Linked DNA regions of Canis lupus familiaris. The protein of the gene in region 3 purifies or fractionates together with the protein of the main gene of each other region. This does not show direct contact. Links are inferred from orthologs where the notes say so. Each region holds a gene or a part of one and is shown on either strand. Other genes may lie near its edges.

Evidence for each region.
Region 1: the proteins of HSP90AB1 (region 3) and CDK4 purify together in Homo sapiens (affinity purification with mass spectrometry; 5 studies listed by BioGRID and IntAct, counting the BioPlex papers as one, with this or other methods). This does not show direct contact. The link is inferred for Canis lupus familiaris from reciprocal best matches to the Homo sapiens genes HSP90AB1 and CDK4.
Region 2: the proteins of HSP90AB1 (region 3) and PPP5C purify together in Homo sapiens (affinity purification with mass spectrometry; 6 studies listed by BioGRID and IntAct, with this or other methods). This does not show direct contact. The link is inferred for Canis lupus familiaris from reciprocal best matches to the Homo sapiens genes HSP90AB1 and PPP5C.
Region 4: the proteins of HSP90AB1 (region 3) and CHUK purify together in Homo sapiens (co-immunoprecipitation; 3 studies listed by BioGRID and IntAct, with this or other methods). This does not show direct contact. The link is inferred for Canis lupus familiaris from reciprocal best matches to the Homo sapiens genes HSP90AB1 and CHUK.
Region 5: the proteins of HSP90AB1 (region 3) and IKBKB purify together in Homo sapiens (affinity purification with western blotting; 3 studies listed by BioGRID and IntAct, with this or other methods). This does not show direct contact. The link is inferred for Canis lupus familiaris from reciprocal best matches to the Homo sapiens genes HSP90AB1 and IKBKB.
Region 6: the proteins of HSP90AB1 (region 3) and MCM5 fractionate together in Homo sapiens (co-fractionation; 3 studies listed by BioGRID, with this or other methods). This does not show direct contact. The link is inferred for Canis lupus familiaris from reciprocal best matches to the Homo sapiens genes HSP90AB1 and MCM5.
Region 7: the proteins of HSP90AB1 (region 3) and HSPD1 fractionate together in Homo sapiens (co-fractionation; 3 studies listed by BioGRID). This does not show direct contact. The link is inferred for Canis lupus familiaris from reciprocal best matches to the Homo sapiens genes HSP90AB1 and HSPD1.

The regions. Positions count from the first base shown.
Region 1 is NC_049231.1:2,166,947-2,171,183, forward strand, and holds the start of CDK4 (cyclin-dependent kinase 4), read right to left. Parts: upstream 2,814-4,237; 5' UTR 2,613-2,813; intron 2,141-2,612; 5' UTR 2,122-2,140; coding exon 1,904-2,121; intron 1,771-1,903; coding exon 1,635-1,770; intron 1,519-1,634; coding exon 1,351-1,518; intron 1,217-1,350; coding exon 1,107-1,216; intron 847-1,106; coding exon 796-846; intron 651-795; coding exon 515-650; intron 273-514; coding exon 180-272; 3' UTR 1-179.
Region 2 is NC_049222.1:110,176,352-110,180,561, forward strand, and holds the start of PPP5C (serine/threonine-protein phosphatase 5), read right to left. Parts: upstream 2,805-4,210; 5' UTR 2,719-2,804; coding exon 2,598-2,718; intron 1-2,597. UniProt on the Homo sapiens protein: Serine/threonine-protein phosphatase that dephosphorylates a myriad of proteins involved in different signaling pathways including the kinases CSNK1E, ASK1/MAP3K5, PRKDC and RAF1, the nuclear receptors NR3C1, PPARG, ESR1 and ESR2, SMAD proteins and TAU/MAPT.
Region 3 is NC_049233.1:12,845,141-12,849,258, reverse strand, and holds the start of HSP90AB1 (heat shock protein HSP 90-beta), read right to left. Parts: upstream 2,812-4,118; 5' UTR 2,794-2,811; exon of another isoform or gene 2,783-2,793; intron 1,754-2,782; exon of another isoform or gene 1,590-1,753; intron 808-1,589; exon of another isoform or gene 482-807; intron 163-481; coding exon 16-162; intron 1-15. UniProt on the Homo sapiens protein: Molecular chaperone that promotes the maturation, structural maintenance and proper regulation of specific target proteins involved for instance in cell cycle control and signal transduction. Undergoes a functional cycle linked to its ATPase activity.
Region 4 is NC_049249.1:13,175,838-13,179,368, forward strand, and holds part of CHUK (inhibitor of nuclear factor kappa-B kinase subunit alpha), read right to left. Parts: intron 3,293-3,531; coding exon 3,223-3,292; intron 1,970-3,222; coding exon 1,881-1,969; intron 718-1,880; coding exon 628-717; intron 499-627; coding exon 374-498; intron 188-373; coding exon 80-187; intron 1-79.
Region 5 is NC_049237.1:24,111,167-24,114,697, forward strand, and holds part of IKBKB (inhibitor of nuclear factor kappa-B kinase subunit beta), read right to left. Parts: intron 1,642-3,531; coding exon 1,517-1,641; intron 1,428-1,516; exon of another isoform or gene 1,315-1,427; intron 1-1,314.
Region 6 is NC_049231.1:29,725,250-29,728,780, forward strand, and holds part of MCM5 (DNA replication licensing factor MCM5), read right to left. Parts: intron 2,823-3,531; coding exon 2,694-2,822; intron 1,729-2,693; coding exon 1,586-1,728; intron 1-1,585. UniProt on the Homo sapiens protein: Acts as a component of the MCM2-7 complex (MCM complex) which is the replicative helicase essential for 'once per cell cycle' DNA replication initiation and elongation in eukaryotic cells.
Region 7 is NC_049258.1:6,898,093-6,902,253, forward strand, and holds the start of HSPD1 (60 kDa heat shock protein, mitochondrial), read right to left. Parts: upstream 2,809-4,161; 5' UTR 2,673-2,808; intron 2,572-2,672; exon of another isoform or gene 2,455-2,571; intron 1,960-2,454; coding exon of another isoform or gene 1,912-1,959; exon of another isoform or gene 1,799-1,911; intron 1,660-1,798; 5' UTR 1,658-1,659; coding exon 1,484-1,657; intron 160-1,483; coding exon 1-159. Other genes in the region: HSPE1 (MOB-like protein phocein), read left to right, coding at 1,912-1,959, 3,710-3,874. UniProt on the Homo sapiens protein: Chaperonin implicated in mitochondrial protein import and macromolecular assembly. Together with Hsp10, facilitates the correct folding of imported proteins.

The DNA.
Region 1 (4,237 bases), on a different chromosome or scaffold from region 3:
GAAAGGGAATGTCATTAAGGCAGCAAAATATTCTCTGTAAAAAGTGGGAGTTGTTTCCACAGCCTCAGAGATGAAGGTCAAGACTGCCTTCTTAGTTTGGGGAGCTCTCCACTCAAGTGTTCAAAGGAAGAGAAAAGACAGCTTCTCTCCTCTTGCTACCGTTGCAGCCATTCCACTGCTCACTCTGGGTTACCTTCTGCCTTTTGTAGATAAGAGTGCTGCAGGGCTCGGAAGGCAGAGATTCGCTTGTGTGGGTTAAAAGTCAGCATCTCCTGAGAAGGGGAGGCAAAGATCAAAAGGTCATGAAGACAAAACAAAAAAAAAAAGAAAAAGACTTCCGCTCACCCCCAACAATACCTAGGATGGGCTATTTTCTACATCCCTCTTTATGGATGGCCTATTCACTGGCGCCAGTAAAAACTAGCCCATCCACCAACCAAGTCTTAGTAACCGCAATGCTAGTGCTCGGTCTTCCACCCCATCCTCAGCCTGTGCCCGTGCCCACGCCCAGTACCAGCAGCAGCTGTGCTCCAGACTCCTCCATCTCAGGTACCACTGTCTGTACTGGACGGGGCCCTCTAGGGGAAAAGGCTCCTCGGGGCAGAGACACATCTCGGGGCCAGTCATCCTCTGGGGGCAGCCCGATCAGACTATGGGGAACAGGAGAGCTCTGGTCAAGAGGGTCTTTCTCTAGCCCACATCTCCAGGGGCAGAGCCAACTGCCATGTGGGGCTCAGCAGAAAAAAGATTTGGAATGGAAAGTTTTTTTTTTCTCCCCTCATGCTGGTCACTTACTCAAAGATTTTGCCTAACTGGTCAGCTTCAGAGTTTCCACAGAAGAGAGGCCTAAGGTGGAAAAAACACAGAAGTCATGTCCAAAGATACAGTAGTGGAATAATTACTGGTAGGTAATGGCTCAAAACAGAGAGTGTGGGGGAATACAGGGATGTGAAGTTCCTAACTTTGGGACATTTCAGAGTTTCTGGTTAGGGACAGAACAGTCAACAATACTTAAGTGAAAGATTGGGCAGGAAATGGATGTGATCTATGACTAAGAGATTTGGTTTGGGAAACTCAAAATAGTTCAGGATGCTTGGGTCCCATACTTGCGACGAAACATCTCTGCGAAGATACAGCCGACACTCCACATGTCCACGGGTGTTGCATACGTAGACTGCAGAAGAACTTCTGGAGCACGATACCAGAGTGTAACAACCTAATAGGAACAAGAAAAGTGGATGAAGACCCCATGGGTTACCATGAACCATAACTGGTTGACTAAAGTCACAAAGTGCCCGACTTCTCAACTGCTACGGTCAACCCCTCTCCTACTCCCCTCTTGCTACTGACCACAGGCGTAAGTGCCATCTGGTAGCTGTAGATTCTGGCCAGGCCAAAGTCAGCCAGCTTGACTGTCCCACCACTGGTCACCAGAATGTTCTCGGGCTTCAGGTCTCGGTGAACGATGCAGTTGGCATGAAGGAAATCTAGGCCTCTTAGAAACTGGCGCATCAGATCCTGGTTTAGAAGGGGGAAGAACAGAGGACCTGGAACTAGGCACCATACCTGAAATCACAGCAGGTTCTGCCACAAAGGTCTCAATCTACTCCTCAGTGTCCACCCACCCTACTCACCTTGATGGTCTCCACTGGCAAGCCCGGTGGGGGTGCCTTGTCCAGGTACGTTCTCAGGTCTTGGTCCACGTGCTCAAACACCAGGGTCACTTTGGTCTCCCGGTCGGTTCGGGCAGTGGCGCAGACGTCCATTAGCCTGGCCAGAACAAGTGGTCACTCACTGATCAATCCCTCTGGACCCGATGCGGCCTTCCCCATTTCCCCAGAATCCCCACCTACAAGTTGTCTTTTCCCCTTTACTACCCACTCCCCACCCCCCACCTTCTCACCGGACAACGTTGGGATGCTCAAAAGCCTCCAGCCGCCTCAGCAATGCCACTTCACGAACTGTGCTGATGGGAAGGCCCCCTCCGGCACCTCCTCCATTAGGGACTCTAACGCTCTTGAGGGCCACGAAGTGGCCGCTGTGCGGATCACGGGCCTTGTACACCGTTCCATAGGCACCAACCCCAATCTCAGCCACTGGCTCGTACCGAGGAGTAGCCATTCTCGGATCAGAGAAGACCCTACAATCACAAAAGCCTCCTGCCACCGAAAATCCCTCAAGAGTTCAGGTGGTATGAGCCTGCCGCAACGAGGTGACTCCCCCACAAGGCATCACAAAGACCCCCCCTCCACCACCCCGTCCCTCTCCCCAGTTCCGTGAGGCTGGCTCCTCAGCTGACACAATGGCTCTAACCCCAACCCCGCCAGGGGGGGTTATTTAACCCACGCCTTAAATATAAACGTGAATCCCTCAAAGAAAGAATTCCTCTTCCTCGGGGACGGGCCGTCGCGCCCCGCACGGGGCAGACCGCACACGACACACCCCCTGCATCGAAGACTCGACATCCGTCCCTACCATTACATCCCAGCTGACCACAAAGGAACTTTGCGCGGGCCGCACTTCCCGCCCTCGAGCGACCCTCCCGTAACCTGCCCGCGTAGGCAGACGCGAGGGCGACAGCGGTCCCGTCCCCGGGAAGGCGCCACGCTCACCTCACTCGGCGCCGGGTGCTGCGGGGGCGGCCCGTTATCGGGGCCCCGGAGCCAGAGCCTGCGGCGCCATACACAGGAGCTCTGTCCGGGGCAGCTGGACGCTCCGGGCCCGACCATAGACAGGCCGCAAGCTAGAGCGGCCCCCGCACCCCCACCCTCACCATGTGACCAGCTGCCAAAGAGGCGCGCGGAAACTGGCGGGGCGGGGCGAAAGCCGGACGTTCGGGCCACGTGACGAGCCGCGCGTGCGCAGAGGGGCGGCCAGAGCGGCCTCGGCCGGGAAGCGGGCGGGGAGGGGAGAGGGCAGGCGGGGCGACGGCGGCCACGTGATCTGTTGCTATCACACGTGACCGCCCGACTCCGCTCGGAGGAGCAGAGGTGTGGCTACGCGGCGGGGCACGTGACCGACTGCCAGACCCGGCGGGGGTGCGGGGAGACGGGGGAGGGTGGAGTCCAGGGCGGTGCCATGGCAACCCGGGCCACCCGGCTCCAGGGCCGAGCTGCAGGCCGCGCCTGAGCGCTTCTGGCGCTCGCTCCTCGCTCCGCGCCTCCCTCTGTGCGCGGCGGTCAGGGAGCTGGAGACGAGGCGGGGGCGGGACGGGCGCTGGAGCCTTTCGGCCTCACTGCCGCGGGGAGACCTGGTCTCGTTTGTGTCTTTGTTTCATTCATTGGCTCATTCAACAAATTTTTACCGAGTGCTCGCTTCCTGTGTGCATGCGGGTTTTTTTTTTCCGGTGTCTCAGTCGCTGGCCCTTTAAAGGAGTGATGGGGCTGTCTGGAAAGACGTAGCCCCCGGTGGGGACAATACCCATCTCAGGGCACAGCCAGCACTAACGGACTGACGGAAGGCACACTAATGCAGTGACCCAACCGGAGGAGTGTCAAGGTGATGCCCTCCCATCTTTCCAACTTCCACCTCTTCCAGGGAGCGTTAAAATAAGACGGTGCTTTCTGGCGGAGAAATTACCAATGAGCAAGAGACAGAAACACTTAACCTGCAAGGTTCTTTGCAACAGGGAGAGGCAATGATATGCGCGTTTGTGTATGTGTGGGTATTTTACACATTGTGTACAGATGGACAGATACAGGAGTGAGCGTGTGCAGGGAGGTTACCTCCACCACCACCTTGGACCTCAGCACTGCGTGAGAATGATTTGTGCTCTTCCACAAACCCTGTGACTCCTTGTTTGGGGTCGTTCTGCTTCCCTCTTTCCCCCGGTGCGAGCTTTCTTAGTCCTTGCTCCCGCCCAGAACTTGGACTTTCCCAAATTGCTTCTGCTCACAGACACTTAGGTCGACAATAGACAGGTTCCTCTGACTTTCCTTATTTCCTAGCCCTTTAGGGGAATGAGAGTAAGGAGGGAAGAGATCAGTATCTCGTTCGGGACAACCTGTCTAAAATCATTTCATGACTCTATTTGCCACTCCTTCCACCTTAACTTCTATTCTCCTTAACCATCTAGTGGAGGATGTAAGAGCTCAGGCTCGAGATGACTATAAACCACGTTCTAGGACAAAATGGAATACAAGTCAGTACAGATTCGCCCTCTTTGCATTCTGATAGTTGTAGCTCTGGGCCCTGCTGGCAAGGGCAGCTGGAACACTAGAAAGAAAAACCTCAAGGT
Region 2 (4,210 bases), on a different chromosome or scaffold from region 3:
CCCTCCCCATGACTTACGGTTTCCCAGAATTCTTACCTCGCCTCAGCAACAACCCTCATACTTGCTGCTCTTCCTCAGCCCCATTTCAGGGACAGCCAATCCCCAGCTGGAGACCATGCCTCATCCTGGACACCTCTCCCGACGACACCTCTCCCGACCCCTCAACCCCCCGAAGCCAGGCAGTTGCCATGTTCTGTCAAGGCAGCCTCCTGAACATCTCAGATCTATTCATCCACTTCCATCCCTCCAGCCCCGCCCTGCCCTGGTCTGGCCTTCAATCTGTCCACCTGCCCGGGTTCCTGCCTCAGCCTCCTCCCTGCTCTCCCAGCCTCCAGTCCTGCCCCTCTGTAGGGGTCCAGCTAAAGCACAAACCTAACCCTGTCCTTCCCTTTCTCAGAACTATCCATGGCTCCCCAGAGTCCACAGTAGAAAGCTCAGCATCCTCCCTTGCCTCCTACACTCCGGCTCCACTTACTTCCTTGAGGCTAGGTTCTGCTCACCTTTGCCAGGATAGGCCTCTGCCATCCTGTTCTTTCTGCCTGGCATTCCCTCCTCCCTCTCACCAGCCCTCATATCCTCTCTGAAACATTTCTTGTTGGTTTCTGACCAGAGACACCTCTTATCTACCTGTCCACCATCCTTGTCTCCTTCCTACCTCCAGCTCTGCCCTTGTATCCAATCTCAGCCCGGAAGCTGGGGAATCTTACCATGCCTCCCCACCACCCTCAGGATGACATCCACACTCCCTGAACTGGCCTCCAAGGCTCCGCCTCATCTCTCACTGGTCCTCTCCTCGTGGCTGCAGCCTGACCAAATGTTCCTGCTCTGAATCCCCTTGCGCTTCCACTGAAGGCCAACTGAAGGCTGCTAAGGCTCTAGATTCCAACCCCATTTCTTTTCCCCAGCTTTGCTGCCATAAGTCTCCCATCTCTCTTGTAGGATCAATTCCAGCTCTCTACTGGACCAGACTCTTGGACTCTTCCATCCTTTAAGAGAGAGAAAGAAAGCAAGCACCTCCCTCTCTCCATTTCTCCACTCCCTTTTAGGACCAAAATACTTGAACCACTTTGTCAACATTTGCTGTCTCTACTTCACTTCCTGTTCACCCTTGGGTGTTCTCCTAGCTAATTACCAACTTCATTGTTGCCCAAAACTGTTCTTATAAACTGCCCTTCTTAGGGCTACCACCAACATTCGTGAAGCCAAATCCAATGGTCAATGCTCAGTGCTCACCCTGGTAGCACCCGACCCAAGGTACAGCCCCCCTCCTTCTAGAAGCACTCTCTTCTCTCATCTTTCCTGACACCTTTCCCAACTTCCCTTTCACTTCACTGACCACTCCTCCTCAGCCTCTTCCTCTTCTTTTCTAAACATTAGAATTCCTCAAGGTTCCAGCCCCTTCTCTCCCTAGATGACCTCATCCATTTGCAGGTGTTCTATTCCATGCATAGGCTGATCAGGCCCAAATTCCTCTCCTTGCAGCTCCAGACTGGCCCATCTGTCAACTCAATGTCTCCTCTTGAATAGCCCAGTAAAATCCAAACCAGCTTTGCAATGACTTATGAAACCCCACCTGGTCTGGCCCCGGTCCTAAACTTATCTTGTATCCATCTCCCTGCTAACTTGCTAAAGCTTCCACCACACTAGTCTTTCATTTCCTACCTCAGGGCCTTTGCACATCTGGCTGCATCCACCTGAAACACTCCTTCGCGATTCTTCTCAAATGCCTTCTCAGTAAGGCTTTCCCTGACGACGCTCTCTATAAAGTAGCCTCCAGCCCTCATTCTCTCCTTCACACCCTGTTGGGGTCTGTTCAAAGCATTCTTCATAACTTCTAAGCATTTTATTATTTCTTGTGTTTTTGCTCAATGTCTTATTCTCCTGCTGAATTACAAGCTATAAAAGGGCAGGGCCACATCTGCTTCATTCCCTGCTAAATCCCCAGAGTCTGGCACAGTCCTTAGCGCAAAGCAGGTGCTCTAGAAATATAATGAATTACTGAATGAATGAGTGCCCCCACATCTTACTCTTTTTCAAGATCGGATGTCATACTATTCTTGGGATTTCCCCACCTTTACTCCCAGGGCCTCCCACGCATCCCTTTTTCTCGTGCAACCCCCAATCTCCTTGCCCTCCCATCTAATGATCTATTCCCCACCCCTACTCTACTGGGACAGTGCCCCCGCCCCCCCGCCCCATCTCCCCACTGGGTAGCACCATCACTCCCCAGCCCTGTGTCACTACTTGGCAGCGCCCTCTTCAGGCCTCACCACAACTAGCACCTCTCAAGGACCTCACGTTCGGAAATGCCCTCGCTCCCGTCCCCCTCCCGCCGCACACTTGGTAGCGCCCTCCCCAGTCTCCCCATTTAGTAGCACCCGCTCCGAATGCCGCTTCTAGGTATCACCCCTCCTGTCAGAAGCCCCCCCTGTCGGCCCCTGGTAGCGGCATCCTGGGCCTCCCCAAGCCCGGTCACTTGGTAGTGCCTGCCCCGCGCCCAGGCTGCCGCTCCGCGTTGCCATGGTTCCGCGCGGGCCGGGCACCCCTTGCCCCGGGCCGCTCTCCACCCTCCCTGGCCCCCTCCGGGGCAGGCGCACCTTTGAAGTAGTCGTTGGCCTGCGTCTTGAGCTCCTCTGCCCGCTTCAGAGCGCCATCAGCCGGGGGCTCGTCCCGGGGGGGCTCAGCACACTCAGTCCGCTCGCCCTCCGCCATCGCCATGCCGCAAAGCGACCCCCACCCTGGCAACGGCCGCCAGCGGCACCCGGCCGAATCGTCGCGAAGGAGTGCCGAGTTGCTGCGGCCGCTGCTGCACAAGTGTCGTAAAGCGCGGGCCCCGAAGGCTCCCTTCGCGCGCCTGCGCAGGGCCCTTTCGCCATAGAGCGCGCGGAGGACAAGGTGACCAGAGGGACCCTAGACAGCGCCCTTCGTAGAAGGAGCCAATGGGGAGGGCGAAAGGGGGCGCGCGGGGCGGGGGCGAGCGGGGAAGGTCTGGCCGGGCCCGCGCTCGCGAAGTCGCCGTGTTCGAAGGCCGCCGAAGTTCTGGAGGGGTCTTCTTGGGTGGGTGGGTGTGGCTGCAAGGCAGCCCCACGCAGAACCAGAGCCGGGAGACTAGCCCTACGGCCGGTTATTTGGGTGACCTTGAGCAATTAGGGGCAATTACCCCCCTCTGAAAAATGCGTGGATTCTCAAACCAAGAGACTAAAGTTCCAACCCTGAAGGTTAACTGTATCTCCATCTGTTAACTGAAGGCGCTCTGGATGCCCTAGTCCTGAGCAAGGCCCAGAAGTTTGTTGCACCATCTCCTTTCTTCATCCTCATCTCCTAGTCCCCAGCCTGCAACAGTGGCCTTAGAAAAACCTAAACTCTTTCTACTGCATTACCTAGGAAACACTGAATAGGATAGCCCCAGGCGACATCTCCAGATGCACACACACACACCCCAACCATTACATCCTAGCAGACCATCCTCTCCAAGCCTTCAACTGCTCCTCCTGTGGAACTATGGCACTAAATCATTTAAGGCCCTGCTGGAGCTCCCATCCTACAACCACAGCTGTCCCACTTCTCAGTCGCCTTGTCCTGACAGCCTGATCCCACCACCTCGTATCATAGCCAACAATCAGCCTAGAAAGTAGATTATAGTATCAGCTCCATTTTACCACTGAGGACACCGAGGTTTGTAGAAGTCAACCAACTTCCCCAAGGTCATACAAGGAGAGTGGCAGAGCCAGGACTTCACCTTGTCCCATCTGATTCTGTGCTCTTAAGCCCTACTCCACTGTCCCTAGACTCTAGATTTTTGAGATTTTTAGAAGTGTGTATGGGAAGGCTGCTGTGATGGATTTGAATCCCGGATTCGAATCCAGCTCAGTCCTTCCCTGCTGTGTGACCCTGGCAAGTGATCATCCTCTGAACCTGTTTCCTCTTCTGTAAAATGGGGACAATAACTGTGCTTATTATATATGATTAGCGGAAATTTGATAAGATCATAGGAATAAAGTATTTGGCAGAGGGCCTAACACAGAGTAAGCACTTTTTATACACAGTCCAATAAAATACTCAGAGTGGTATCGAGTACCTAGACCTGAGAGGGGAGAGGAGGGGCTCACCCTGTTGGACAAGCAGGGAAGAGTTCCTGGAGGAGGGAATGTTTGAACCAAGAGCTGAAAATGAGTAGGAGATAACCAAGTGTGAAGGAGGAAGGAAGAAA
Region 3 (4,118 bases):
GCCCAAAGCACTCACATCAGAAGCATTACTGATCAACTCTCGAAGAAAAATTTCCTTGTTAGAATAGAAGGTATTGATGATGAGGGACATGAGCTGGGCAATTTCTGCCTGGAAGGCAAAAGTCTCCACCTCCTCCTCTCCATGGTGCACTTCCTCAGGCATCTAAAATAAGAACAGTCAAGAATTACAAAAGAACACCGTGGCCCCATAGGTAACACTCCGTTTCACCCTACTCACAACGAAGACTCAGCTTTTAGTTGAAATTGCTTTGGGCTGGATAGTAGACATATTCCTGAAAAACTAGAAAACTTTTCCCTCAATGATTTCAGCCTATACCCTTAGTGGAAATCCAATTCAGGAAGAATTTTTAAAAGCTTCTCTAACACAACACACGACGTCAAAAGCGTTTTGGAAAAACACCTTGGAGCCTAAGTACTCTAAGTGGTCCATGGGACCCAACAGACTCCGCATCACCGAGTACCTCGTTGAAAATGCAGATCGGATCCAGGAACACGAAAAGGACTCCAGATAATTTTCAAGAGAAAAGCACTGAATACGGCTCTATTTCTTTTGGTAGGACAAACGGTAGCCCGAGGCGACCAATTTCGGGTTAAAAGGAATTCGCAATTGGCTCTCCCGCTGGGGGTCTCCCACATCAAGCACCCTGGAGCGCAGGGGCCGACTACCCCCGGGGCCGGTGGATACCCGCCCAAGCGGCTGAGACAAAGAACCGCTAAGGCAGAAGCTCCATCGCGACCCCAGCACACGTGACTACAGCGTGGGACCAAACCAAACATAACCAAGATGGTGGCCGTCGTCCGCTGGGCAGACCCTCGTCACTGCCGGACGTGCGTCGGCCAGGGCCACGCGAGGAGGGGGCGCCACCGCGCAGCCTCCCTTCGCCCCAGCATCCGGGCACCAGGGCGGGGCGCCGGGTTCCAGAAGCTTCCAGAACAATCTCAGCTCTTCGGAGAGGCGGGGGAGGAAAGGGCCCATGAATCTTCCCGAGCTTGCCCCCTCCACTCCCCTCCCCCACACCGACACTGCAGGAAAGATCTGGAAGGAGAGGAAGCACTATGGGCCAGAGACCGCCGTCAAACGTTGCTCGCCGAAGGTCACAGAAAAAAAAAAAAACGAAAACCCTTGCAAAACGCGTCCCAGGGGACAGATGGCACAGGCGGCACGGGCAGGCCAGCCCCGGGCCGTGCTGAGTCACGTCCAGCGCGCACACCCACAACGCGCGGGGACCCTCCGGCGCCCCGTAGCCGCGTCCGGAAGTGGAGGGGCAAACATGGCAGCGTCCCGGCCGGCGCGGACACCACGTGCAGCTGCCCACCACCCCCAGCCCGCGCCGCGGCCCACCTCCCCCAGCGCCAGGCGCCGCCCGCGGGGACGCCCGCCACCAGGCACGGGTGAGAAAGCAAGTCTAGCTCGCGGTCCCCCTCCCGGCCACCCCCGAAAGCAGTTAGGAGTCGTCCCATCCCACAGGCCGCTCCCACTCCACGAAACCCAGGCTTTAGAAAGGAAACGAGGAACGAGAGCAACTCAAGAGAGCACTCCAGGCAGGAAAACCTGGAAATAGCTACGACTTTACCTTAAAGGGGAAGAGCTGCAAGCACTACAGACCACGGCGGGCAGGGGCTGCGTCCGGCTACGACGCCGAACCAAGGCTGCGCGGGGGTGACTCAAGAGAGCGGCTGTGCGCCCCCGGCCGCTCTATATACGGCGGAGCACAGACCAGCTGCCGGCCCCCGGATCCCTCCGCCTTAAAGGAGGGTGCAGCTCAGCCCCGCACCTGCCGCTGCCCGCCCACCTTGACGTCATGGCCCAAAATGGGGCGGGCGGGGGGGGGGGGGCCGCCGGTCTCGGTCTCCGCCTTCAGAGTACGCAAGTACATCTCTGCTTTTGCAAGGCATGAGCTCCCTCCGAGAACTAAAGACTGGGAACGTCTTATTTCATATGAAATAAGTGGGGGATCTAGGGGTGCGGGTGCCACTGGCCTTCCTATAAACCATGAGGCAGGCGCCTCCCCACTCGAGTCCTGGCCTGGAGGAACACCTATAAAGGTGGAGGGCGGGGATAGAAGCGGCCAACCGCTCCGACCTCGGCTCCCGGGTTCGACTCTTGCTACAATCTGCCCTCCAGACCCCCACAACCCGAGAAGGGGAAGCAGTTTTCCTTAGGGACGGTGCGGAATCCGGGGTCTAACCTCAGGGAGGCCTTGCGCCCCGGCCCTCCCAGGGGCAGTGGGCGAAAGCCGCGGCTGTGCGGCGGGGTGTGGCTCCGGCTGGGGGAAGGGCCCTGGCCGGCACCGGCAGGGGGACTCTTTGCCCGCGTCCGGCGGAAGGAGCGGCAATGGTGGTACTGCGATTACTTCCAGCAGTTTCCAGACCCGCCTTGGCGGCCCCGCCCCCGCCCCGCCCCCTCCGTGCAGGCGCCGCCCCGCCCTCTGCGGCCTGGGCCGGGTGTCCGCAGCCGCCGCGGTCCCCGGGGAGGAGGCGGGCTGTTCCCCTATTAACCTGGGAGCCCGCGGGGGGGACCCTCATCTCCCACCTGCCGGTTCGGCGAGCCCAGCGCTCCCTCGGGAGTGGGATGGAGCATAAAGGGAAAGATTGACCCCCCCACCCCCGCCATCGATCCCACGGCCTGGGGCTGTTGGGGCGGTGGTGCTGGCGCCGCCTTCGGGGCGCAGAGACCCGGGGACGCATTCGCCATCGCGGGGGGCGGGGAGGAGGACCCTCCCCTACTTGTGCATCCGCCCAAGTGAGTGGGACCCGGAGACCTGCGTCTTCCCTGCGTGAGCACACGGAGCTGTTTCCCCATCTGGTTTCAGTTTGGGCCCTCTTCGCTCCTGCGGCCGGCAGACGGGAGGAGGAGCGGGCCCCCTTGCAGGCTGCCAGAAGTCGTTCCCCTCCAGCTGCGGCGCGGGCGCTCCCGAGCCGTTAGTCGGCCGGGAGAGCTGTGGGACGCCGTGGCTCAGCCCCTTTCGCGCGCCTTCCAGAGGGGAAGCCGTCCTTGTCTACCTAAGGCCTCCCCTAGGAATGCCGTCGGACCCACGGCCCCTCCGGAAGAGAATGGCCTCTTGCTGCTCTGTGACCTTGTAGGGGTCCATCCACTTCTCCCTGGCCCACAGGGTCGTTCCCTGGAATCCTGGGGAGGGGCTGCCTCCGGCACCACCGCCCGCCGTCCTTCCTCAGCCTTCTTCCTTCCTTTGTATTTCCTTATTCATATGTTAAATTCCGAAGAACAGACCTTCCAATTCCTTATCTTTTCCCCAAGCACCAGACCTCATCACCCAGCCACAGCCACCACTCCTATATTTCTCCTTACTCTTTTATTCAACCCCACACACACACCTGTTTTAAAGATTTTTATTTACTCATGAAGACACAGAGAGGCAGAGACAGGCAGAGGGAGAAGCAGCTCCATGCAGGGAGCCAGACGTGGGACTCGATCCAGGGTCCCCAGGATCATGCCCTGGGCCAAAGGCGGCGCTAAAACCACTGAGCCACCCGGGCTGCCCCCTATTCTCCTTAATGGTGTGTGAGAAATCTGTGACTTGGGGAAGTTAATGTGTTTGGGAAGAGCTGTGGGTGCTGTTGCCAGGAATCCTCCAGGATTCTCTGTTCCTGATCAAGATCTCAAACGAAGTGTGTCATCCCTCAACATACCCTCTCTCTTTCTGGGCAGAAGGGGCCTAGAAAATTAAAAACCTCCCTAGTTCACAAAGAGCATTCAAACTATTTCACAATACTGTGAAGAGGTAAAAGTGAGTCTCCCGTTCTCACTGGGAAAGCAAGGCTTCAGTGAGATCAGTCAGCTCAGAGCCTCTGTTGCACCAACCCTCGCTCCTTGCTCCAGGAATGGAGTAGCAATGCTGTCTCCCTTCCCAGGACCCAAGTCCAAAGCAGCAGAAATCACTCCTGTGGATCAGTATTAAGACCAGAGACTCCCGGGGTCTTCTAATGGGAAGATCTCAAATCACGCACTAGCACAGAAATTCTGTCTTTTCTGGAAGGCTCTCCCACTCGCTGACACTCACTTAAGCCCCCCACAGTGAGTTCCTGGGATGCAGAATTGCAGAAACAAGATGGAGGTTTCAGCCCCTAGAGGGCTGC
Region 4 (3,531 bases), on a different chromosome or scaffold from region 3:
ACTTGAAACAGACAATTCCACTGTTCTTTTATAATCCTAAAGAAACTGAGGTGAACTTTCTCAACTAAAATATACTTACCTACAAAGGCTATTTGGTTGAGGTAAATGGCTACTAAACCGAACTTCTCCTGTCATTTCTTCACATGCAAATATACACTTTGGATCCTTCTTCTTAATCTTCTCATGCCTATAAAACAAGTTACCTCAGTTGACAACTCATTCTCATACTCTTAAGATTTTTTTTTGCCATTTAATTTTATTCAACTATGCGTTTAAAAGGCAATTACACATACGAAGCGGGAAGAAAAAAAAAGCAGGTAACTGAAAATTTACATTACCATTAAGCACACCAAAGTTCTCTTCCATTTCTTACCAAGTAAATGGCTGCAGATGATGCAAAAAAGGCCTATATCCAGCAATACATTCAAACACCATGGTCCCAAAGCTCCAATAATCAACAGTGGCTGTATAAGGCTTATTCTCAAAGAGCTCTGGGGCCTTAAAAAGAAAAAAAAAAATGCTTCAAACATCAACACTAGAAGAGAAGAGCTACTTTATTTTTGGACTACTATATTCATGACCTTCAGAAGTAAGAACATGAATTCAAAGAAACAATTAATGTCTCACCAGATACTGCAGTGTTCCCACAAAAGATGTACACAGACTTCCTTGATCAACATCTTTGGCATATCCTAGATCAATTATTTTATGCATAATCTGCAAAACAAGAAGTATTAAATGAGAAATTTGAAAAGGAAAGGCAACAATATCCTTATAAGGCTCTGGAGAAGGTGGTGGGGAAGAGCTTGAGCTCTGGAATATCACAAACATATTTCAAGCCTGAGCTGCCCACTTATATGATCTTGATCAAGTTACTTAACTTCTCTCAGTTTCCTACATAATGATATTACTAATGATCTTTACTTCACAAAATTATTATTAGGATTCAATGAAATAATGAAAGAAAAGAATAACATAGTTCCTTTGATGCATGGTAAAAAATGTTAACAAAATTAAGTATAGACTATTAATTTTTATTTTGGCATATTCAGAATAAGACTGATCCATTAAACCAAAAGGGAAAGGTAAGGATGACTTCCAAAGTTGAGAAAGAATCATACCACTAAGTGAGTAAAGACCTATCTAACTTCAGGAATATCCTGAAGACTTTGGATACAAACGAAGCAGAAATAGTTGGTGCCAAGCATACATGAAAGGCTCTTAAGAAGCACCATCAGTTTTATCACCTCAACTGACCACCATCATCACTAACTAAAGACCACACAATCCAATTCAAGGTTCAGACTCTTGGCTTTACATCTTTATTGGAATGGAACTTGGGTGCTAGTCACAAGAAAACTGCTCAAATTATTCTGATAAATACAAGTATTCCAGGAGTCAATGCATAATTTCTGGTTCTTCTCAAGATGACTCATTTAAGAATCTGAGAAACCAAGGTTTTGAATTTTACTTATATATAGCACTTAGAATTTGAGGGAAGAGAATGAGGTTGTTCTTTCTTAAATAAGAAACAGTTAAGTAAATATACTTAACCAAATCCAGTGTGTGTGTGTGTGTGTGTGTGTGTTGGATGTGCTTTGTAAGGGATTAACAAATTATTTTTATTCATTGTCTATTATCTCTACTAGATACTGTATTCAAAACCAGAAGTGCCCAAGATAGGGACAGTTCCTTCTCTAATGGAAACACTGTGTTAGAAGAGGAGACAAACATCTAAACACAAAACCACAGTTCAGTGAAATGAAGGCTGGGGAAGAAAAAGTATAAAATGCTATGGAAAGGCACCAGATTTCAAAGACTAATTATACCAGGGAATCTATATTCAATTGGCATGTAACAGTTCTTCAGGTTTTACCTACCTTTCCACCAACATCCTGAAGAACTATGTTTTCAGGTTTTAGATCACGATGTATTATTTTGTTTTCATGCAAATATCGGATCCCAGACCCTGAATAAAGTTTAAAATGTATTTTGAGGTAACAGAAACACTGAATTAAAAATAAATTCATCTCACATTTTGTACAGATCTTCTCTGATGTTCAAACTCTTTTTTTATTTAAGTAATCTCTACACCCAATGTAGGGCTTGAATTCACAACCCCAAAACCAAGCGTTGCATGCTCCTCCAACTGAGCCAGCCAGGCACCCCTCTGATGCTCCTATTTACACAGACCATCATAATTATATGATTAATGGTATTGTACCAGTTAATAGTCTCTCCACAGAAAATCCAGTTAATATTAAACAAATACTGTAGAATTACATAAGTCCCCCTAGTTTTCCCTCCCACCTAAATCATCGTCTTCAATTAGACTTGACCTCCATGACCTAGAAAAAGAAACAAAATAAAAATATATAGGGAGGAAGGCCTGGGTGGCTAGTGGTTAGTGTCTGCCTTTATTTAGCTCAGGGTGTGATCCTGGGGTCCTGGGATCAAGCCCCACATCAGGCTGTCTGCATGGAGCTTGCTTCTCCCTCTGCCTGTGTCTCTGCTTCTCTCTCTCTGTGTCTCTCACGAATAAATAAATAAAATCTTTAAAAAAAAAAAAAAAAGAAAAAATATATAGGGAAACATATTCTTGGCTTCTGAACTTCCAAGGGCCTAATTAAGGATTTTTCAGGAGTAATTTTTTTTTTCTTAAAAGATTTTATTTATTTATTCATGAGAGACACATGGAGAGAGGCAGAGACATAAGCAGAGGGAGAAGCAGGCTCCCTATAGAGAGCCCGATGAAGGACTTGATCCCAGGACCCTGGGATCACAACCTGAACCAAGGGTAGACATTTAACTACTGAGCCACCCAGGTGTCCCAGATTAATTCTTATTAAAAAGGAATTTTATCCTACAAGTTGACTTGAGAACCTATAACCAAAAGATGCAACGTCACTGGTAAATAAAATTACTATGCTAGGCAGAGAAGAAGGGGGAGCAAAATTGAATAAGGTCATTTCACACCATTCTTTCTTAGCACTTAGAGCATCCATTAGTCAAAAAATGGTCTCCTGGCGAAAAACAAAAAAATAAAATATCCTAGTTTTAGCATCAACAAGAGTTAAATTTTTCTGATAATTTCTTATAGATGGTAAAAGTGTATGCTTTGTATAGTACATCAAAAATTCTTAATTCCCAAGTAGTATATAGATCCTTTTATAAACCAAAGGGGCACTAAATTATGATGGTATTTTCAAACTGATTACATACCTATATCACTCAGTAAAGAAAGTATCTGGCTTTCTTTAAGTCCACAGCAATTTTCTGGTTTATTGAGTAGCTGAAGAAAAAAAAAAACAAAGAAATCTAAAAATGTATACTGCTAATACTGCTGGGCAGCAGTAGCAACACATTAATCACTATATACACTAAGAGAATATTCAAATAAGAAATAAGTCACAATTAAGAAAATGTAAGAAGGGAAAAATCACCAAAACCATACTGAGAATAAATTAATTTCATGACAAGACTTACACAGGTAGAGATAAAAGGGGAAAGTATGTGAAAGTGAAAAAGGTT
Region 5 (3,531 bases), on a different chromosome or scaffold from region 3:
CACACAAAAATGTTCATAGTGGTTCTTTCTGGATTGTGTGAAAGAAATTCTCATGGTGTAAAAATGTTTTGTGAGCACATGCAGGACAGTTCATATTATGTTAATCATTGATGTAAAAAAGAGGTGAAACACAAACGAACCAACAGACAAGTACAGACCAATTTTCTTGTACCCATATGAAACACCCTTGGAAGCACACCAAAAACCAGTAGTAGCAGGTACCTATGGGGAAGGAAGCCAGGTGGTGGGGAGGCTGCCCAGAGGGGACTTTTCAGTGCATACTCTTTTATCACTTTTGGAAGCTTGAACCATATGAACTTATTACTGCTCTAAAACAAAACAATACAAAACAAAAACTGGAAATAAAAACAAAATTTGGGGGATCCCTGGGTGGGTCGGTGGTTTAGCGTCTGCCTTTGGTCCAGGGCGTGGTTCTGGAGTCCCGGGATCGAGTCCCGCGTCAGGCTCCCGGCATGGAGCCTGCTTCTCCCTCTGCCTGTGTCTCTGCCCCCGCCCCTCTCTCTCTATGTCTATCATGAATAAATAAAATCTTTAAAAAAAAAAAAATTGGAATAACAGTTGCATCATTTAAATTAGTGTGTGGCCTCTCAATACTCTGAATGAAACCTAATTTAGGGGAATGTTAGTTTTCAAACTACACATTTTGGTAATGATTTACCTTCACATATACAATGAACACTTATACACTTATTTTTGTAATTAAAAAAAAGGCAAAGATATAATTTTTTAAAAAGTATATCCTTCAGTTTTTTATTTATAAATCTTTTTTCTGGTAACTTTCTTGTGTGCAAATTGGTTCAAATTTTAAGCCACTTTCTTATGCTTTTATTTTTTATTTTTTTATTTTTTTAAAAAGATTTTATTTATTTATTCATGATAGTCACACAGAGAGAGACAGAGAGGCAGAGACACAGGCAGAGGGAGAAGCAGGCTCCATGCACCGGGAGCCCGACGTGGGATTCGATCCCGGGTCTCCAGGATCACGCCCCGGGCCAAAGGCAGGCGCCAAACCGCTGTGCCACCCAGGGATCCCTCTTATGCTTTTAAAACAAAAATTTATATTTAGGAATGGTAAAATTTGTCAATAATACACTTCCACGAAAATACTTATCATTTGTCTTGCATACATGTCCTTTATTTATTTACTAATACACAGCATCTTCAGTATAAGTACACTGTTGTATAAAGCAGTCTGTAAATGTACTGGCATGTTGCTACTGAATACAGGGCAAATATTTATAAGGCATTACTTTTAAAGATGTTAACACTTTAACAATTGCTCTACTTTTCCAGGATTTTTGAGTCTGGACTGCCCATGTGCTGGGTCCTAACATGACATCCTCTATGGGAGACAGATGACCGATGCCTCGGGCCCAGGCTGGAAGTGCCCGGTGAGGTGGGAACAGGTAAAGGATGTGACAAAGACAGGGGGACACAGTCCTCCCTTCAGGAGGTGCTCCTCGCCCCACCCACAGGCCCCCCGTCCCTCACTCACCACTGCACGGGCTGCCAGTTAGGGAGAAAAGGTCGGAAGCCCGTGATGCACTCAAAAGCCAAGGTGCCAAAGCTCCAGTAATCCACGGTCACTGTGTACTTCTGCTGCTCCAGGAGTTCCGGGGCCTGTGTAAGAATGTGTGGTGGGAAAACACCTGAGCTGCTTCCTCTTCTGAGGAGCTGCCACAGGAGGGGGCAACCTGCCCCTCTAATCATGTCCCCACATGCCCCTGACTCCATCCAGAGCACATTGGCATGTCCATTCCAGGGTGAGGAGGTGACCACATGTGTAACTGGTGGTGTCTAGAATTTTTTGGCACTTCATTCACTCCTGATATTGATACAAGGGCCCCTAGGGGTGTTTTGGGTAGACCAGAGAACATCATATGCCCTTTTCTTGGGTGCAGTGTCCAGGTGGGAAGATAGCTTACATACAACAAAGGAAAATGACACCAGGCTATACACACCAAATGCGTACACACACATTAAATGATGACCAAGTCTCTTAAACTGATGTGATTTAGGAATGTGGTCGTACAATGAGATGGGATATTTACAATCAGCCAGATGCAGGACTGCTCCCCAAGCAGAGACAGCTGAAGTAACCAAGCAAAGCTTTGAAGCACAGAACAGAACCTGGGTCAGAAGAAGGCTCCTCACATAAGTGTCTGCGAGGGGACATTCCAGAAAGGACCATCACAAGCCCAGGCAGGGAGACAGGACCATGGACTGTCTGGCTAGAAGTGTGACCCTTATGGAAGGGTCAAGGAGTGCCAAACACGAGGAAAAATTGGGGAAGGGTCAGATCAATCTCTGTATCTGGTTATAGACAGAAGCTTTAGTTTTTAAAGGTGAAGATTTCACTGAGCATCCTGGTCAGAGCACGGGGTCACCTCACATCACTCCTGCTGAGCCCGTGAGGCTCCCAGAGTATACTCAGTAGGACCTATGTAATTACATGATATGGACACAGGGCAGGGGCCTAAATCACAGCCCCCCATGGGTCACCACTCTGAGACCTCTATCCAGAGAGCAGGTCATAAAGCGATGGAGCCTGTTACCCTAGTTGGTAGGATAAGCAGGAAGTATAAATGCACTCAAAGAGACATCAAAGAATTTCTTCTTATTTTTTAAGAACTAGATAAAACATTTAAGCTTATTTAGCCCAGTGGCTTTCAACCTTTTTTTGTTTGTTCATTAAACTGCAGACCCCTCGATCAACCAAAATTTTACTGGTTGTTACCATCCACAAGCAATCTATTACCAAGTCTTATGGAGTCTCTTGCTAGGCATTTCTTTTTTTTTTAATTTTAATTTTAATTGTTATTTTTTTTAATTTATTTTTTATTTTTTATTGGAGTTCAATTTGCCAACATATAGCATAACACCCAGTGCTCATCCCATCAAGTGTCCCCCTCAGTGCCCGTCACCCAGTCACCCCCACCCCCCACCCACCTCCCTTTCCACCACCCCTTGTTTGTTTCCCAGAGTTAGGAGTCTCTCATGTTCTGTCTCCCTTTCTGGTATTTCCTACTCATTTTTTCTCCTTTCCCCTTTATTCCCTTTCACTATTTTTTATATTCCCCAAATGAATGAGACCATATAATGTTTGCTAGGCATTTCTTGACTTATTTTCTACATCCTCAATGCTACCACCAGCTCTGAGCTTACTATCACAACAGCCTCCTTACTACTTACCCGCTATTTACTCTTGTTCAGTGCAATTCATCCTCCACAATGCATCAAGACTCATCTTTTCAAGGGGTAATACCAATCCCTCTCCAAATTTAAACCCTTCAGTGTCTTTCTGGTCCTCCATGGACTACATCCTTTGCTTCAATCCCTTCTTTTCCCTGCCTCCAGCCCCTTCCAGTCCCAGACTAGGTGAGGTCCTCCTAATACATATTTTTATAACACCCCACCCTTTCCCTTTGTAGCACTTGTCACAATTGTAGTTTCTTAGTTTCTGTGTAAGTGTGGGGGGTAATGCCTGCTCTCTCACCAAACTCCAAGCTC
Region 6 (3,531 bases), on a different chromosome or scaffold from region 3:
CTGCCACAGGCCGAGCTCCGGGAGGGCCCGCTCAAGGCCGAGCTCCAGGAGGGCCCGCCACAGGCCGAGCTCCAGGAGGGCCCACCACAGGCCAAGCTCCAGGAGAGCCCGCTCAAGGCCGAGCTCCAGGAGAGCCCGCTCAAGGCTGAGCTCCAGGAGGGCCCGCCACAGGCCGAGCTCCAGGAGGGCCCACTCAAGGCCGAGCTCCAGGAGAGCCTGCCACAGGCCGAGCTCTGGGAGGGCCCGCTCAAGGCCGAGCTCCAGGAGGGCCCACTCAAGTCTGAGCTCTGGCAGGGCCCGCTCAAGGCCGAGCTCCAGGAGGGCCCGCCACAGGCCGAGCTCCAGGAGGGCCCACCACAGGCCAAGCTCCAGGAGAGCCCGCTCAAGGCCGAGCTCCAGGAGAGCCTGCCACAGGCCGAGCTCCGGGAGGGCCCGCTCAAGGCCGAGCTCCAGGAGGGCCCGCTCAAGGCCGAGCTCCAGGAGGGCCCACTCAAGTCTGAGCTCTGGCAGGGCCCGCTCAAGGCCGAGCTCCAGGAGGGCCCGCCACAGGCCGAGCTCCAGGAGGGCCCACCACAGGCCAAGCTCCAGGAGAGCCCGCTCAAGGCCGAGCTCCAGGAGAGCCTGCCACAGGCCGAGCTCCGGGAGGGCCCGCTCAAGGCCGAGCTCCAGGAGGGCCCGCTCAAGGCCGAGCTCCAGGAGGGCCCACTCAAGTCTGAGCTCTGGCAGGGCCCGCTCAAGGCCGAGCTCCAGGAGGGCCCACCACAGGCCAAGCTCCAGGAGAGCCCGCTCAAGGCCAAGCTCCAGGAGAGCCTGCCACAGGCCGAGCTCCAGGAGGGCCCGCTCAAGGCTGAGCTCCAGGAGGGCCCACTCAAGGCTGAGCTCCAGGAGGGCCCACTCAAGGCCGAGCTCCAGGAGGGCCCGCTCAAGGCCGAGCTCCAGGAGACCCTGCCACAGGCCGAGCTCCAGGAGAGCCCGCTCAAGGCTGAGCTCCAGGAGGGCCCGCTCAAGGCTGAGCTCCAGGAGGGCCCACTCAAGGCCGAGCTCCAGGAGAGCCTGCCACAGGCCGAGCTCCAGGAGAGCCTGCTCAAGGCCGAGCCTGAACCCAGAATAGGATCAACAGGGGTCTGACCCACACAGGCCCATGGGTGGAGAGATCTGCAGTCCAGCTAGGGAACCACACCTTGGCACCCGGACCCAGCCCCCGAGTGCCTGTCTGTCTTCTGTGTGCCCATCCAGTCTCTGGGGGCAGCTGGACACAGAACAAGGAAAAGAGCTCTGGAAGCGCTCAAAATCGTTATGAGCTTAGGGCAGGAGTGCTATCCCCAACAATGATAAAATCACAGTTCTTAATCATTAACAGAGCCAAAAGGATCATGTTCAAGGGTCTGGGGGGGAACGCTGTGGCTTCTCATCAGGGAGGAAGATGGAGGGGAAGGGCCAAGCGCAAGGGAGGTAGTTCATAGATGCTGGGCCAACGCACAGAAGCAACACAGGCTCCCAGGCTCTGGGGCACTGCCTGGCCCCCCCAGGGCACCAAGCTGGGACCTCAGCACGGCCGAGCCCGTGTCCCAGGGGGTCCGCTCACCTGACAGAGTGCCGGACAAGGCGGCATCCAGCGTGGACACCTGGAAGAGCCGCAGAGCCTCCTCCACATCCGCTTCTGTGGCAAAGGGCTGCAGCTTCATCTTGCTGAGGGCCTCCGCGATGCGCACAATGGCCTCCAGCTGCCTGTGGGAACCACCGGTGGACTCAGTTCACGGCCTCACCCCGCCCAAGGGAGGAAGGCCGCAGAGGAGACTGCTGCCCTTTCCTCCTCGGTGACGGAACCCCGATTTTGACTCCGGCATGTGGCACCCAGCTAAGACATTCCCCAGCTTCCCTTGCATCTAGACGTGTCTATGTGACTAAGATTCAGCCAATAAGTTCTCAGTTCAAACATTTTGTGGGGATTTCAGGAAACATCTTTAAGGAAAGATGGGCCCTTCTTCCCCTTCCTCTCCTGTCGCCTGGAATGCAGAGGTGATGGCTAGAGATCCAGCAGCCATCTATGAGGATGAGCCCAAGTTGCTAATGACACTGAGGAGCCATCACACCAACCCTGTACCACTTACCCTCAAACATCTTTATGTGAGAAGTAAATTTTCAATTTATTGACTTTACTTTTTTGAGTTTTTTCTTTCTTTCTTTTTTTTTTTTTTTTTTTTGAGTTTTCCATTACTTACAGCTAAATCCATTTCTAACTAATCCTACTAGAGACAGGATCCAGCCCAGGTAGGCCCAACCTCCTACTGTATAAACTCCAAAGAATGAAAAGTTAAGAACTATGAAAACTGAGGTCCAGAGAAGGAAAGGAATTTCCCTTCAGTCAGAGAGGGCCAAAGTCTAAGACCCAGGTCTTGAACTCCCATGACCAGGCCCTTCCCTCACCCCCAGGCTTTCCTGCAATGAGGGAAGCCAGACAAAATTCAGAAAAAACAGATTCCACGTTTCCTCAAACTTAAAACAAGCCAAGAAATACATATCATCAGGGAGGCCACTGCTGATGCTCCCCCAAGCTGACCTGACCAGCAGCCCTTATTATGGGCCTGCAGTGGTAATAGGGGCCCTTGGCCTCAGGCTTGCTGGGCACATCCTGCTGTGTAAACTGAGGCCCGTCCTGCCCACCTGGGTCCAGTCCCCTGGCCCCTACTCACCGCACAGTGATGGGAATGTTGGAGCGGCGGTCGCTGTCCCTCTCATGCTGCCGGGCCCCGCTCCGCATGATGATATACCGGTTCTTCAGTTTCTCTGCAGCCTCTGCCGATAGCCGGGGGCCACACTTCCTGCAGGATGGGGGAGCAGCTGCCATTGGTCCAGGAAGGAACCTTGGGACACCCACTGTATCCCCAGCCAAATGACATCACAGATTCAGGACAATGCTCAGATCACCTAATCCCACCCTCCTCCTGAGGATAAGAAACCAGGCCAGGAGAAGGGAGTCCATTCCCCACAGCCACCCAGGACCTGGCATCAAGGTGGGGTGACTCACACCCAGGGCCAAGCCCCCGAGGATGTGGCCAAAAGGAATTGTGACGAAAGGAGATCCCCAGGTGGCTCAGGGGTTTAGCGCCTGCCTTCAGCCCAGGGTGTGATCCTGGAGTCTCGGGATCAAGTCCCACATCGGGCTCCCTGCATGGAGCCTGCTTCTCCCTCTGCCTGTGTCTCTGCCTCTGTGTGTGTGTGTGTCTCATGAATAAATAAAATCTTAAAAAAATAATAAATTAAAAAAAAAGGAATTGTGACAAGGACTGCTGGAGCAGGAGCTGCTGGGCTCATCACTGCAGCTGGGGGGGGCGGGTACTTAGGGACCCACCTGACTATAGCGCCTCATCTCCTGCAAGAGGGGCCCTCTAAGACCCCCACCCTCAGGTTTTATCTCCAACAAGAGACAAGAGAGGCAGAGGTGCAGCTTCCCAGCACAGTGCCTGGGTTCAAATCCTGGCTCTGCTACCTTCCACTAACGACCTTGGATGAGTCACTTAACCTCTTTCC
Region 7 (4,161 bases), on a different chromosome or scaffold from region 3:
ATCCCCAGCCTCTTCGTTTGTGTTATTGGCAACATCTTGAACAAGTTTAGCGCCAATATTTTTATATTTGTCTTTTAAGTCAATTGACTTTGCCACGGTCACACCATCCTTTGTTACTTTGGGACTTCCCCAACTCTGCTCAATAATCACTGTTCTTCCCTATAATTAGAGGAAAAAAAGTGACAGAATCACATACCTGAGTGCATTTAGCTTGAAACACAATGAACAGTTTTTAATTACTTGAAAGCCTCAACACAAGTTGTCGCTTTTATTAAATGTGCAAGAATCTCAAAGGCAAATCCATCAGTGTTCCTAGCTTACTAACAAAATGACTTTTTCTGTTGCCAAATGCATAACCATGCATTGAGGGTTTTATGGAAGATAAAAATCCCAGAGACTAAAATTGTCATCTCATTAAAACATACACACACACAGAAAACCAAACAACCTGGTAGCTCATAATGAAATTTCAGAATATCCTTCACATGATTCATAATTAAGTTTTGTCCAGTGCCTGCTATCTATGAAAATAATAAGAAAAGAGGCTTCAAAATTTAGCTACTAAATAAAATACCAAAAGCAAGGCAAGTACAGTTCACTCTTTCAGGGGCTGATTCAATGTTAAATCTCAAATCATGGTGCAAACAGTATTGGCAGCTTCTGGATCTGAACCAAAGCTGCTACTTGGGAGGCATACAAATGCCACATTTTATACAATATGTATCAATACTCTGATATTGGATCTGTCAACCTGCAATCAAGCATCACTCCATTTGTGCATCACCTTCAAAGGTCTCCTCAAAACGGGTTACCCTTTCACTCAATACCCTCTTCATATTAAATGAGACAAATCTTCATTACAGTACTTCCACCAATGGTATGAACCGCCAGGGAAAAACCCAAACCTTAAGTAGGCAGGCAAGATTAATTCTACCTCCCATTTTCAAATCCACTTTGAGCTGTGAGTTACCAGTCCATTACATCAGACGTTGTAGGAAAGAGTTTCGCAAATTTTAAAGAAACGGTTTTAAGACCATTGTTATCTACGTAAAAGAAAAGAGTAAGCAGTAATTGGGAACTCTTACGTATTTATTGGAGTTTTTTTTTTTAATGTTAAGGACAACTTTATTGCTTCCAGAGGCTTTTATCGTCAGTACGCGGTTCTGATTGCAATACCTTCCTCAGACTGCACGAGGAGCCCAGGATCCGTAAGTCATTAAAACAAATACAGGTAAGGCAATTTTCATCAAGAAAATACTAGTAGCTTAACCTAAATCTAGGCTCCTGAATTTATTACATGTTACAGACCCGAATCAGAGAGCTGTCCCAGTATCTAGATAAGTCCTACCGATTATAAATGAGTGAACAACGGACACGCAAGTACTTACTGCTCAACAGCTCGGTGGGACTCTCTGACATAATTAAATTTCTACTCCTGAACTCACGATACTGTCAATTCCAACAAAACAAAAAACACTGATACCTTTGGCCCCATAGTAACGGCTACGGCATCGGCTAGGAGATCTACACCTTGAAGCATTAAGGCTCGGGCATCGGCACCGAATTTTACATCCTTGGCATAGGCCCGAGTGAGATGAGGAGCCAGGGCTCTGGACACTGGCCTGACGTGGCGGAGCACTGCGGGTAATCGAAGCATTTCTGCGGAGGGACGGAAAGCACCAGGTCAGCAGTACTCCCACAGCAGCGGCACCCCGGGTCGCCGCACGGCCTGCCCCCGGGGAACAGCGGGCACCTGCGCCGGCGCCACGTGAGGCCGAGCGCGCGCCACCCCGCCGACGCGCAGAGCACGCCCATCGCCTTCCCCGCGGCCGCGAGAACCGAGTGAACCTTTTACCGCTTCAACAGCGTAGAGAGAACGCGCTCCCGAAAACCCAAGTCTGCAGCAAAGGCATGGGCGCTCGAGGGAGGAGGGAAAAAAAAAAAAACCCGTTCCTGAAGGTACAAAAATGTGCTCAGTAAGATGCGGCTCCGGGCGACGGCTCCGGGCCTCTGCGGCCGGAGCAGCCCGGGGCCGCCACGCTGGGGGCCCGGCCCACGTGTCTTCCCCTCAGGACGCCCTCCGCAAGGTCACGGTGTGCGCGGGGCCCGCGGTGGCGGCGGCGGCGGCGTTGGCGGCGGCGGCGACCACCCAGCAGCGCGGCGCCCTGCGGGCGGCCCGGGGGACGGCGGGGGCGGCGGGGACGGCGGGGGCGGCGGGGGCGGCAGGGGCGGGCCCGCCGAGCACGCTCCCGACCCCCACCCCGGGGCCAGCCCGCCCGCGGCGCCCTGCCCGGGAGCAGTGCGGGCCGCACGTGACGGCAGCGCCGGACCCCGTGAGGCCTGGCCCGGCGGCGGGGGCTGCGCGCCCCGGGAGCCCCGGCCCTCGCCCGCCCGCCCGCCGCCCTCTCAGACCGCGGGAGGGGGGGGGGCGCTCCGGGGCGCGGGCGCGGGTACCTGCGGGTCGGCGGCGGAGCGTGCGGGCGGCGAGGCAGGCCGGCGGCGGCGACTGAGGGGCAGAGCGCGCGGCGCGCACGGCAAAGAGCCAGTGTCCCCTCCCTCCGCCGCCCTCCCCCCGCCCCGCGGCCCCGCGCGCGCCGGCGCCTCCCAGCCCTGCCCGCCCGCCCGGGCCCGGCAATCGGCACGCGCCCCGCGCCAGCCCCGCCCCTCGCTACCCGCGGCAGGGCCGGGCCGGCGGGCTCAGCCCCCTCCGGCCGGCTTAGGCTAGTTCCCGGGCTGCGCTGGGTTCCAGAACGTTCCGGGAAGCGCGGCGCTCTCTGGGGGGGGTCAAGGTTCACGGCGCGTCATTTCCGGGAGAGGGGCGAGGAGGTAGTACTTACACCTCCGCGGGCGGCCTGGAAAGGCCTAGAAAGAAGTCCCCTTTCCTTCCGCCTGGGCGTCCCCGCGTCAGCGGCCGGCGCGCGGGGCCGGGGGCCAATCGCAGCGCGCGCTGGCGCGGCCACCCTCTCCTGCGGGGAGGGGCGGGGCGCGGGAGCGAGCGCGCATGCGCGCCGGGCGGCCTTTTCCCACGTTCACGTGGCCTGGGGGTCGGACTGCGGGTCTCCTGGCGGCGGCGGCGGCGGCGGCTCCAGAGCGAGTGGGACTGCGGCGGCCGGAGGCATGGTGAGGCCCGCGGGGGCTGGCGGCCGGCCCTCCCCGAAGCGCGGGGGCAGCCGTGCGGGGAGGGGAGGGGGCCCCAAGGGGCTCAGCTGCAGGGGCCGCGCGGAGGCCGGGCCCACCGCCCCTCGCCGGCGCCTGGGCCCTGCACGCGGGAGCCCCGCACGCGGGAGCCCGGCTCGCCTGCAGCCCGGGCCGGGGACGGACGCGCGCCTCCCGCGGGGCCTCTGCCCGCGCAGCAGCTGCGGAAGCCCGGCTGCAGGCGCGCGTCTTGATGGCTTTTGCAGAAATGTCCCGGAGAAACCCAAGGAAGGAAAATCTTTGACCTTGAAGTCAACCAAGGTTGCCCTTAAAGCTCGTTCGAGGGCTGAGCACAGCAGCAGCAACCACCCCTAACGGCTGTAGAACGGGAAATTAGACTCATGAGAGCAAAACACTCAAGTGGCGTGTTGTTTTTTTTTTTTCCTTTAAGCGAATCTGAGCCTTGGCGTTAACTTTGAAAGCCACGCACGTGCTTTTTTGACGAGTAACGCTGAGAATGTAATCGAATAACTACTGCTGTTTCAAATTTGATGTCACATTTCCTCTCTTACAGGCAGGGCAGGCGTTTAGGAAGTTTCTTCCCCTCTTTGACCGGGTTTTAGTCGAAAGGAGTGCAGCTGAAACTGTAACCAAAGGAGGTATCATGCTACCAGAAAAATCTCAAGGGAAAGTGTTGCAAGCAACAGTAGTGGCTGTTGGATCGGGTTCCAAAGGAAAGGTAAGTGGGGCTAACGTTGAACCGTTTTTATGTGGAGTGGAGGGGGAAAAAAAGGAAATCTCGATTATTAAAAGTAGTTAACCATTTGGTGGCCGAGTATGATCGGCCTTTTCTTCAAATTCTAAGTCTTTGATAAACCAAAAAACCGTATTTAAGATGATCCGTGGGTGCTTTTACAAGTTGGGGAAAATTTAAACTCTAGGTTTGACCTCTAACATCGTAATTGCCTTAATCTTTTAACTCTTTTTGGCCTTAGTGGGTGTGCTTATGAAAGGAACAGGTTGGAC